Linked DNA regions of Oryzias latipes. The protein of the gene in region 2 purifies or fractionates together with the protein of the main gene of each other region. This does not show direct contact. Links are inferred from orthologs where the notes say so. Each region holds a gene or a part of one and is shown on either strand. Other genes may lie near its edges.

Region 1 (6,425 bases), on a different chromosome or scaffold from region 2:
TCCCAGCTATCTTCAGGCAAAGGTAAGTCCACATGGGTGGACAAAAGGAAAAACAATGCATGCACCTCCACACAGAAAGGACTCATCTGGGATTCCAACCAAGAACCTTTTTGAGCTCACTCACAATGCAGAATCTTCCCATTTCTCCCTTTATCATATTTCCGTCAAATTTACAGTTTCCGTAACGAAAAAAGATTGGCAGGATTAAGACACACGATTGCAACCTGAAGGTGATTTATGCAGCAGTGCTTCAGGTTTAAAGTATGAACCCCGTTTACTCCAAAATGTTACTGCAATCAGCCAAACATGTGCTATAGAGTTCATGTTTACAAATGAAAAAGGGTTTGTAAAATGCTGTTTGGTGAGTGTTGCTTGATGTAGTTGTCAGTCAGTAATGTTGTCATATAAACTCTAACTTTCACAAAGTCAGATGTTTTTATTCAGCTTACGTCTGCTGGTACAGCTGTAAACAGTCACAATGTCCCAAAAAAGTCAGTTCCACCTGCTGATCAACTTGAAGTGCATTTTTTTAATTTTAAAAGAAAACTTCAACTTAGAAAACCAATTTAGGATTTAACCTCACAGACTCTGGATCAGCTGAAGCTGTTATCTTGACAGAACTTGAGAAGACCTGAGCTAAACAGATCCATCATCCTAACTTAACATTTAGTTTGCTAAGCTCAGTCTATCCACATCTCCTTCATGCTAAGATGCATGAGAGCTCCACATAGTGAGGTCCAAAGCATCTTTGAGCCAAAGGGCCAACGGTTTCCTCAGCTGGTCCTCCAGGATCAGTCCTCCTCTGAGGAAAGCTGTGCTTCTTCATCGTGCACCTCTCTGTAGGCGCCCATGGAGCCGCCGTCAGGGTTGTAGCCCCCCACCGACATTTTTAGTCCCTCAGACAGTTTCTGGGCTGCCAGCTTGGCCTGCAACTCCTACAATCATACACAAGATTTGAAGAAAAAAAACAATAGGAAAAAGTGCATAAAGAGAGCAATAAACACTGAAATATGACTAATAATAATAAGATGATTTGACTCTTGCATTTACAGGTATTGGTCTGCATGTAAAGTCAGTGTCTGAATACTGCCCTCTGGAGTTCTTAAGGGAAAATGACAACTATGAAAAACCAAAATGAAACAAACATCAAATGATGTAGTCAGTGATTCATTAAAAACACATTTCACTAAGATTTTTATTTTACTTTGAACCAATTTATTCACTTTTATTTTCAGTTTTTTATTCAAACCTGCATAACATTTGTCAATGTGTGCTTTTGTGCAATGGCAGATAATAACATTTTGTTTTGAGACCATTTTAACAAAATAATAAAAAAGAATTTATGAAAATGCCCCTGTGGGCAAATAATGACACCTATATTACCATCAGTCCTGCACATATATGAAAACCTCCACAGTAGCAACTGTGCATTGTTAGAAAATCTTCTGAGTGGTCCACAACAAGCCCAAAATGATAGACATCAGTGATGAAGCCCTCTCAACACTTCACAGCCATTTTAAATGGCGAGTCATATTGATGTGTGTGAGAGGTTTCAGTCACACTAACCTGCTGCTTTCTGGTGTGTTCTACAAGTAAGGCAGCGGACTCTTCAAGGGTCAGGAGTTGGGCAGGATTGTGATGAAGAGGAGGGAGTTTGGCCGCAGTGACATCATCCAGGTGTTTCTTGTCCTGCTCCCTCCTGGCCTGAGCGGACAGCGGCGATGCATCTCCAGAGGGCTCACCTGGTGACGAGGATCCTGACGTTGAAACGTCACTTCTGTTGAGCAGCCTGAAAAGAGGGTTAAAACATTTTGATTTTCAAGGAATCCAGATGTTTATCCCTAATAAAACAGACATAAATGCAAATAATATATCAAAGTTTTGAAAGAAATAAAGTAACTTACTGATTTGGTTTGAATTTTTGCCTGATGGCATGTAAAGAGGACTCTCCTCTATTCAGGACAGCAATATAGTGAGGCTTCTTTGGTGTTTGCTTTTGGAGAAAGTAATTGGTTGTTGCTTTGCTGTTAAAGGCTTCTTTGGACTTTCCAGTATTGGACTCGGATACCTGGACCCTGTCCAGGGCTTCCACTAGCTCACTTTCTTTTATCTCTTCAGATTTAACAGAGGGTTCGGCAGCAGATGTGTCCATTTGTTTTTCTAAAGTGGCATCTTTCTTCGTTGGTGCTAAATCAGGTGTGCTTTCCGTTCCTCGTGAGTCCTCTCCTTCCTCATTTTGGTATGAAGGTGCTGATGAGGTGACTCCACGTTGTTGCGAACTGAAAGCTTGCTGGTACTTGGATTGTAAATCGCTCCTTGTAGCAGACAGTAAATCTCGCCTCCTCTCCTCTTCGATGCGCTGTTCAATGGCGAGACGCACGTTGTCTGCAAAATCTTGAATTTTTTTCCCTTTGTCTGGAAGAGTCTGTAATAACCTCCTAAAAAACAACAAACAATCATCTTGTAAAGAACTCATCGAGCAGTTATGTCACATGGCATTTATCACATCTCTGCCTCTTTTTCTAAAACAAACAACAACTTAATCTGTGATTTATACACAACACAATAAGCATCAGTTGATATGGTTTATGATACATTCCTAGCTATTTTGATGCAACCTCGAGGCCCACTGCAATGAAAATTCGGTTTTTAACGTGTTCTTGTGGCATTTTTCTCAGGATAGAGGACATATACATGAAAAAAATCTTGTTGTGATGTAGAAGCTACAGTCGGCAGGCCACAAGCCCCCTCCTCCTCCACGCCATGATGCATCCACTTGTAGGAGACTGGATCCAGATGATCAGAGGGGGACTCTAACATAATCCTCTTGCTATGATTACATTCACTGTTGAAAAGGGACATTTTTCGAGCAAAACATTTGTCTTTGGGAGTAACTTTTTGTTATTAAAAGTTAAAAGATGACTAAGAATAAACAATATAAACGAACATGTAGCATCTGGAATATAAAACATTCGGTTAAAGCCCAAAGTGGGCATTTTAAAATGTGCAGGTTTTACTTTTAATTTCTTAACAGTTGGTATAACGTTAACATGATGGAACCGAATGTGTTGTAACTATTTTTAACTGCTAATATACTATGGTCATTAAACAAATAAAAAAAAACTACAGGAAAATGTCTCTTTTGTCGTCTAATAAAAGGCCAGACTCACTTATTGGAGAGGATTTTTTCCTGTCGCAGCAGCAGCTCCTGCAGTTCTTCTCTGCTCTGGTTCCTCAGGTCTCCAACCTTCCCCTGACGCTGATCGGTCCACGACATTACTGATGGCTACCCGCTTCCAACTGCAGCCATTCCCACACAACGAACTGTAGATTAAAATTTGACTTTAAAACTATACGACAAAAACACTAGAAACAATTTACTAATAAAACAATCCGCTCTACGTGAAACCTTCTTTGAGTTCCACTCATGACAACATTTCAAAGTGGGACCTTCTTCTTCTTCTGCGGAAATTCAACGTCTGCTGTGACGCTCTTTCTCCCTCTACTGTACAGATCACTGTACTGCAGCTCGTTGGCCGTTGGAATAACACATGTAATTTGCTGCCCTCTGCTGGCCAAAGGTGGTCACGACTACCAAAAACGATCATGAGGAGAATTTCCCAATACAGTAAATTCAATTTCAGTTGTACAAAAAAACTAAATTTCCAACCGATATTATCGCAAGGTGAAAAATCTAGGAGAGCAAGAAACAATGAATCAAGTAATTACAATCTCCAGTTTTGTGGGAAAATGACAAAAGATTCAATCACATATCATTTTAAGTGTTTTAGAGGAAATAGTAACCATATGTCTTACTTAACCATTTTATTGAAGTTATCTTTTACTCAGATTACTGTGACAAATACCATGACTCGTCATTGATTGCATGAAGCACGTCACAGCACCAGTGGTGCCCACAAAATAATTTATTTATTTTTTTCTCCAACTACATTATTTAAAATGGTTTTATAATCCAATTTAATCCATAATATTTCATTCGGGTCAAATTGGCTAACTCTAGTTTTTTTTTTTCAATAAGTGACCAACAGATTACATCAAAGAGTATGTGTCGCAATCCTTTATGAGGACGCAAACAGACAATTGTGAAGTGAAAATGTAACAATTTAAGTGGAACAAATGAGAGCGACCGTTTACACTTAGTGGTTTGGATTAGAGGACAGGAAGACATGTAGACAACACAGGGGCAAACACTGCAACCACATGACAAAGACATTCCAGTTAGGAACTGTAAATGTATTAAATGCATTCTTAAAAAAAAACAAAGCAGAAATAAGAAAAGTATAAAGTGAGGCCCTTGTGCTATCTTATGGGGTCCAAATGACCCCACCCTAGCATTGACGTGTTATCCCTACCAGGACAAAGGTAGATAAAGGCGAAGAGGATTTCATGTTATCCTTGGACACCAGTGAAGATTACAAATCATTTAAGAAAAAACGTTCAGCGCACTGTCTTGTGGGGTCCAGATGACCCCACTCCCAATGTCAAAGTGCCTATGATAGCACAAGGGTTAAGGTCATCCAGGTCAAAGAGAACTTTTTCCTTTATCAGAGGAAGGCTTTAGTTGCATTGAAGATAAAGATGGTGTCTGCCTCCAGAATTGAACTGGGGAGTTGGTGCCACAAAAGATGAGCCTGAAAGCTGAAGGCTCTGTTTCCCTCAAAAAAAAAAAGACAATTAATCTCTTGTACCTGTTTGGCAGAAATGAATTAAACTATAAATATATTATCAATAAATCATTCTATCCCAAGAAATAAACAGCACTTTGTATTCATCTTTTCTTATTTGCTTAGTGAAAACAATGCATAGCAATACAATACCATGTCTTTTTTATTTTTTAAATATGACATTTTTTGCTCACGAGATCTTAGTTCTTTGTTATAGTTCAATATTCTGTAGATTTCTTGTTTCTTTTGCAGATCAGACCATCCCATCAGATTCCTTAAACAAAATGCTTAAAACAGGGCAAAAAAACATCCCTTTTGTAGATCCTAGGCTTTTTGTTGATCTTTTCTTTCTTAACCGGTGTTGTCGGTGTAACATTTTCCAGTATTGCATTCTTCTGTTTTCCACAGCTGCATTTCCCCTTTGGAAGGTTTCCAGCCAAAGCGTCAAACCATTTCCACCCAACTCAGCAGACAATGACTTTCACTTCAAGTTCCAGCTGTGTCCCTGACAGTGCAAAGTCCTTAAATCAGTTTTGCATGGGTAGAAAATGATTCTATAAGGATAGCCTTTAGCATAACATACATCATTTTATGAGTTGTTTGCTTTGATCTGCTATTCCCTCTTTAGTGGTCAGTTAAAGCTCCTGATTCTCTTTTAAGGTGGAGGTTCCATGCAAGTTTGCATGTACATTCCATGGACATATTTATTGAAGCACTACAAGAGGGTATTTACAAAATAATTTGAATTTATCTTCACAAAGAAAAAGCTATGTTACAGTAATTCATCAAATCAATTTAATCTTTTTTTCTTCCTTGTGTTTTTAATCTTTCATTAAAAATTTTAAAATAAGAATCTTTTCATTATTTATCAGTAAGTTCCACTGCGTCAGGAAGGGCATCCGGCGTAAAACATTGCCAAATCTACCATGCGACTCGTTCGCTGTGGCGACCCCTGATGGGAGAAGCCGAAAGTGGAAGAAGAAGAAGTTCCACTATTCTCCACTTTAAACAAATGCTGTTTTGGATTAAAATGTTAAATCAAAGCAGTGTTCGCTGAAATCATGTAAATTGATCAATTTAATCTAATCATAAACTTGTAAATCAAATAATTCAGTAATTTGGCTACAACATCTGTACTTTTTGTGACTTAGTTTGTGTTAAAGTCTTTCAATCAGGCGACTGAATCACAAAACTTTAGTTACCAAACTGTTTCCTAAATTGTGACTACCCTCATTAGTGTGTGGAGGATTACATTCCGGCAACCTTATGGTCTAAATTTGTAATGTGTAATAAAAAAAAAGAAGCATCATGAAAACTTTTCTGAACACAAAGGACTTTTATAACGATTGCAGAAGATTACAGTTTTTAAAAATGTAGAGTAACCTGGGTTTCCATTAAAGAGTCAGATTTTACAGATTAAAATACATATTAAAACCATGTTAATAAATACTTTTGTAAAATAATTTGTCAGGTTTGAAAACAACAACAAAATACTTATTTGTTGGGTAAAGCAAAAATACAAAATAATAAAAAAAGATACACAACTACATTTTAGCTAATGTCAAGTGAATAGCTCAAAGCTTATGCAACAATAAATCTCATTCAGCGCTGTACAATGGTTAGACACAGTGCAAACAAAGGAGAAATACTTCTTCAAAAATATTTGATTTCTTTTATTTACATCCTTCAGTTTTTCTCTAAACAGAATAGAAAAAAATAAAATAAACCAAAGATATATTT
Region 2 (6,526 bases):
AACGAGTTACAACTCACAGTCATTTGCTGCAGTTCTATCAAACTTTAGACTGATAACAAGAAATTTACCTCGTGCTCTGTAATGTTTATTAGCAGTTCCTGCTGCAGAAACTGTTCCAGAATGTACTTTGGTGCCATGTCCACAAGAGACTGTAAAATAGGATTACATTTTCAAGTAAATGTTCAGCGTCTTTGCTTATTTTAGTAATATTTCAATTAGGGCCGTGCATCAAGTTAGAGTCATTGTAGACACTGACTTAAATATCTTAACAATATCAACAATTGAAGGAATAATTTGAGTCTTATACCAAATTTTGATACTTATATATAGTGAGCCTCAAATATATCAAGTTATTTAGCAGTCTGTGTGTACAGATATGTTGTGTTGATTTCACTTTGTGCCCATTGTGCTTTTTTTGTGTGTACACTGGTTAGAGATAAGTCATTACTTTCAAAATAAGATAAAACATTTCTGAAGAATGTGTTATAAAAATATTTTTTTGAATCAGTATCCAACAATGTAATGATCAGGAACCGTTCCAGTATGTAAACTTTAGCAACGATACCCAGCCTTAGTTTTAAATGATTACACATACCTGCTTAGCTGAGGGTGTCATGCCCATCTGAACCACGATGATGGCTCGAGTAATGTTCTCCTCCTGCATCCTTTGACAGTACATCTTGATTGTCTTGATCCCGACCTTGGGTTCCTCTAATCCAGAATAGAAAAAGAATCATTTTGAATAAAGCTTTATTAGGCTTGTTCAGAAATGTAAATACATTCGCTGCTCCCATGTTTGATGAGCCACCCCGGTGAAAACGGTGTTTTTTTAATATGGAGGACAAATATGACAGAATTGAAGACAGTTCCAGTGTGTCTTATATTAAAGTACAACTAATTACGGTTGCAATATTTTCTAACACTGAACCTCTTTGCTATTGCCAATAACTGTGTCTGATCTGCGAAAAAGAAAAATGATAAAAAGAATAGGAAACTGTAAAAAAATATAACCTGTTAGACTCAAATGAAAGGTTGATATTTTCAACTGAACCTTAAATATTGATGGATTACTTAAATTTGTATTTTGACTTGTGAAAGATTTAAAAGAGGAAATTGACTACAGTTGGATATGACATTTATAAAATAAATCATGTAAAAAGTGCCGTTGCGATTGGTAAGGTTAGTGTGTATTCTTCTCATAGAATGGTGTTAAACAGCGTTCAGTTGTCAGCTTTGCTCGTCTAAAACCAGAAGTACGGTGACACAATGGCGCCCATGTCTCTGTTTTGTCTGACGTCACCATGAAAAGGGTCTATTGGCTTCATTTCTCTGGAGCCGGAAGAAAGGCGACGTCACCATGGCTCAATTCTCTAATAAAGTCAATGTAATCTAATGGGAGAGTGTGTAAACAAAAAAGGGATGATGGGATATCAGCAGGGGCTTACGTCCGTGCCAACAGTGATGCCCACACAGGTTTTTATGAATTTGGCTAAAAACAGAGCATTCATAAATATAATACCACTGGGGACTCCTTTAAAAATAAATCGAAATATGATTGGAGTGTAACTTAAACTTTTGGTTATTTTATGGATAAAAGGATGAGTTCCCAAATTATTCTCAAGTATAAACCTACCAGGAAAGAAAACAAACATTTGATCAGTGGGATCATCGTTGTGTGCGACCAAGACTGTAAGGTCCGTCCGTCTGGGACGACCCTCGCTGGGTTTGTCTCCGAATTGACTCTTGAACTCCTCCAGGGTCTGGTCCAACTCATCTTGTGTTACCAGATAGCCTCGATCGTGGCAGAGCTGTGGTTAAAAAAAACAAACAACATTTTAATATGTATAGTGTTGGCCAAAGGTTTTGAGAATTACATAAATATTGGAAATTGCAAAAGTTGCTGCCTAGGATTTTATAATAGCAATTTGCATGTTCTCCAAAATGTTACAAAGAGTCATCAGATGAATTGCGTAGTCCTTCTTTGCCATGAAAATTAAATGAATCCCCCCCCCAAAAATCATTTCAGTCATCGTCTTTTTAACTCAGTTGAGAATGTTGACGAGCACAAGACTGGAGATCATGATGTCAGGCCGGTTGGGTTAGAATGGCAGACTTGACATGTTAAAAGGAGGGTGATGCTTGAAATCATTGTTCTGCCACTGTTAACCATGCTGACCGGCAAAGAAACGTGTGCAGCCATCATCGCGTTGCATAAGAATGGCTTCACAGGCGAGGATATTGTGGCAGCTAAGATTGCACCTAAATCAACAATTTATAGGATCATCAAAAACTTCAAGGAAAGAGGTTCAATTCTTGTTAACAAGGTTTCAGAGCGTCCAAGAAAGTCCAGCAAGTGCCAAGAATCGTCTCCTAATGGGTTTTAACTGTGGGATCGGAGCGCCACCAGTGCAGAGTTTGCTCAGGAATGGCAACAGGCTGGTGTGAGCGCATTTGCATGCACAGTGAGGCGGAGACTTTTAGAAGATGGCCACTTATCCACCCCAAAAACAAACATCAGGGACAGATTGATCTTCTGCAAAAAGTATGGCGAGTGGACTGCTGGGGACTGGGGCAAAGTCCTATTCTCCCATGAAGCCTCTATCCGATTGTTTGGGGCATCTGGACAAAGGCTTGTCCGGAGAAGAAAAGGTGAGAGCTACCACCTGTCCCGTGTCGTGCCAACAGTAAAGCATCCTGAGACCCTTGATGTGTGGGGTTGCTTCTCATCCAAGGAAGTGGGCTCATTCGCATTTTTCTCCAAAACCACAGCCATGAATAAAGAATGGTGCCAAAACTCCCTCCAACAGCAACTTCTTCCAGCAATCCAACAACAGTTTGGCGTCAAACAATGTATTTTCCAGCACGATGGCGCACCGTGCCATGAGGCAAAAGTGATAACTAAGTGGATCGGGGACCAAAATGTTGACATTTTGGGTCCACGGCCTGGAAACTCCCCAGATCTTAATCAATCTGGGTTGCTATCGGTCAGGATTTGGCCCTAAAGTTGATTGACAGCATGCCCAGTCGAATTGCAGGGGTGCTGACAAAGGAAGTCCAACACTGCAAAACCTGACTCTCTGCATAAATGTCATATAATTATTGTCGATTAAAAAAAGCCTAAACGTAATAAAGAGCTGATAACTATATTTCAGTACATCACAGAAACAAAAATCTAAAAGCAGTTTAGCAGCAAACTTTGTGAAAGTGTATTTAATGATTTGAAGCATTCATGTTGTCATACATGTAGTCTACATGTACGAAAACATGTTGGCTTTTTTTAATGGGTCATCATGGGTGTGCTAAAGTTAGCCTTCGTTCAAACGAGGCTAACGAATGCATCATTCCTACACATAATAATTAAAAAAAAAAGTCTGAGCGCGTAATTGGAACGACTTGCACTGAGAATAAGAGATTAACACACAAAACGTAAAAGATTTAGTTACAACTTTAACAATGGCAGTCAAAAGCGACTCTTTAACGCGAGCCACATGTGAAGCTAACAGCTAGTTCGCTGCTAAGCTAGTATATCCTTTTATTTAATCCACCTGCATTATTGTTTTACGGATCTTCCACAGCCGGTAAGTTTCCTCTTCATCGTCCATCCTTTCTCAATTTATTCTCCTTTTCGTATTTTTAAATCACTAATATTCTTCTAAAAATCCGATGGCATCGATGGTTCCTGGCTTGGCCAATATTATATACCACAATGCATTGCGTTTGATCGAGTTGACGTTTAAAAAAACTGTTCTTAAAGAAAAGTCCTCCAGGTTATTATCTTCAGAGCGAATTTATTAAGTCTTCATAAAATGTTCTTAATTATTCGGTATTTTTTTTTAACTTCGGCTAATTGGAAATGTAAATCTGAAGACAATTTACTTATGGTAAAAAAAATAAATTAAAATAAAAATTTGCTTCAGAATTAAAAATCTCTTTCTAAATTTATTTTTTACTGACTGAATTTAGGTTTTAAAAAAGCTTAGTATATTTTGCTAATAATAAATAAATATATCACCTTCTATGTTTTAATTATGACACATTTTATCTATAAAAATAGATAAAATCTTAGAATGTAGACGAGGGTCATTGAGTATAATTTAAGTACGTCATCTTGACTCTTCTTTAAATTAAACTGTTGCAGTGAAATAGAAACTGTCTTTTGGCTGTTTTGCTATTTGTTCATGTATCGCTAGTTATATCGTCATCGCAATATTGATCATTGATATCGCAGAACGCGAGTTTCCTCATATCGTGCACCTCTATCTCCTACCCCCCCCCCTTTTTTTGAACGTTTTGACCTATATTTTATTTTTATTTTTGTTTTGAAAAACCTCATACGTCATTTCCTCCTTGTCTTGTCAAGCATTTGACTCCACCCACTTGAGTTTCACAACACTGGGTGGAAATGAGTCACGTGCGCTTACAATGAACAAAATAGATTTTTTCCGATAACTGGGGCCTTTTTATTATTATTTTTATTTAAGTCGCTGTCAAAAATGAGGCCATTAATTGTTATGTTGACAGTTGGGGCTATAGCGAGCAGCGGAGCACTGCTGGCGATGGTACTGTACTTTGTTTTGTCCACCACGGTAAAGTATTTCTTCTCTATAACCTGATTGCATAGCCTAGCACAGTGCATGCGTTTCCATTGGAGTACATGTATTATTACATGTCTATGCATACGTAGGCATGTCTCCTGTTATTGTTGTGTTTTTGTCATCGTTCTGCTTAACACCTCGTAAGGAGATTTCTCCATAAGCTCATAAACCTCTTATATTTGTTAGCCAGCGAGTTCTGGATGGTTCCGAACAGTCCGGAACAGAACAGACTATAGTCACAAACGCTGGAGCAGCGCCAGCATCCTTCACTCCGTCTGTTCACTGGCACCAGCTGATAAACATATCACAGTGTCAACATTTTAGATGTTTTTTTTTGTATGACGTAAAAAACCTCTGCCTTACTTTTTTATTTTTTTTACATTTACCTTCACATTTTGTATGTTTTGCCATTTAAGAACACATTGCTAAATTCCATTTAGGTTTTTATATGAGTCTAAATACCAAGACAGCTCAGAAGAACAGTTCAAAACAAACACAATGACTGATAAATCGTGAAGTTTCTTATTTCCTGTCGTGGTTTGTTGATCAAATCAGTACATTTAAGATCTCTTTTTTTCTGGGATTAGATTCTTTTCCCTATTAGTTTTAATCATTTGACACAATGTGTTTTTGTTTCCTTTGCCTGGGCAAATGGCTCAGGTTGTCTTGAGATTATGTCAATGCTGTGAACTGTGGACCGCAGTACAAAGGTGTTTTTGATCTGCAGGCTTTAATTGCCAGCAGGAAAGTAGGAAGTGCTGGACAATCCCATCCTATCAGCTGCGTTACAGATCACATGTTTTCTCTGTGAGGACACTGCAACGTGTGCTTTTTGCGTATAAAGCCAGAGTCGCGGGGAGGGGGAATCAGAGATCGGATTGTTTTCTGCCTTTATAGAGGCGAACTGAAGGGCAGCCATGCTCCTGACAGGCTGTACAGTGCTTTTCTCTGTCCTGCTGCAGGTTATGGTAAGAAATGACAGGAGCTGCATTGGACTGGAACCTAACTTTGCCAGCTCTGCTTTTGTTTTGTGTTTTTATAGAATGGATTTGTTCATTTTTTCTTATGTTTTATGTCATGTCTGGTATATTTTTGTTTATTTTTGTGCTGATTTTCACCCAGATTGACATTTTTATGCCTTTAAAACAATGTTTACCTTTAACCAACAGTCCACTCCGACAGAGGACTGGCAGAGGGCCACATCTATTTACGATTTCAATGCAACAGACATCGATGGCAACTTGGTTTCCTTGGAAAAATACAGGTATTTGAGATCAATTCTTTCTCGTTTTGCTCTTCTGGTAAAACGACGATCATCCATTTTCCCGTTGTGTGTGTTTTTCAGGGGGAACGTTGTCATCATCACCAACGTCGCCTCCAAATGAGGCAAAACCGTAGTAAACTACTCTCAGTTTGCAAAGATGCACGCCGCGTATGCTGAGAGAGGTTTACGCATCCTCGCTTTCCCATCCAACCAGTTTGGGAATCAGGTATTTATGTTTTGTCGTCTAAAATTGTGTTTGTGAAGGTAAAATATCCCAAGAGATCAAATTTCCAACTTTCTTTCATAATTGTTGCATTCGTTTTAATAAAGCTTTGGGTGTACTTTACAAATCAGGGTATAGAAAGGATGAAATGTGGATTTGAGGTTGAAATTTATGATGTAAATTTATGTAAAAAGCAGTTGTGCTTTTTTCAAAAGTCCTAATCTTTTGCAGAGTCATAGTTGCAGTTTGTTCATTTCCTTTGGCTGCATGTTTGCCTCTCAGCCAGATAACAGAAACACTAGAAGAATGATTCTTAAAAAACTTTGTGTTTAGTGGACCATGGTCAGGGGAGGGAGGGGAACATTGATTTTTGTGTTTGTCTATTGCTGTTCTGAAGAACTGTACCAATTTAAAGGTCTTTGTATGCTTTTCTTTTATTTTTAA

What was found.
Region 1: the proteins of polr2e (region 2) and polr2m purify together in Homo sapiens (affinity purification with mass spectrometry; 3 studies listed by BioGRID and IntAct, counting the BioPlex papers as one, with this or other methods). This does not show direct contact. The link is inferred for Oryzias latipes from reciprocal best matches to the Homo sapiens genes POLR2E and POLR2M.

The regions. Positions count from the first base shown.
Region 1 is NC_019861.2:21,378,316-21,384,740, forward strand, and holds polr2m (protein GRINL1A), read right to left. Parts: upstream 3,521-6,425; 5' UTR 3,410-3,520; intron 3,325-3,409; 5' UTR 3,278-3,324; coding exon 3,171-3,277; intron 2,439-3,170; coding exon 1,905-2,438; intron 1,790-1,904; coding exon 1,567-1,789; intron 936-1,566; coding exon 792-935; 3' UTR 417-791; downstream 1-416.
Region 2 is NC_019862.2:26,973,184-26,979,709, reverse strand, and holds the start of polr2e (DNA-directed RNA polymerases I, II, and III subunit RPABC1), read right to left. Parts: upstream 3,720-6,526; 5' UTR 3,603-3,719; coding exon 3,546-3,602; intron 1,809-3,545; coding exon 1,634-1,808; intron 712-1,633; coding exon 596-711; intron 150-595; coding exon 69-149; intron 1-68. UniProt on the Homo sapiens protein: DNA-dependent RNA polymerase catalyzes the transcription of DNA into RNA using the four ribonucleoside triphosphates as substrates.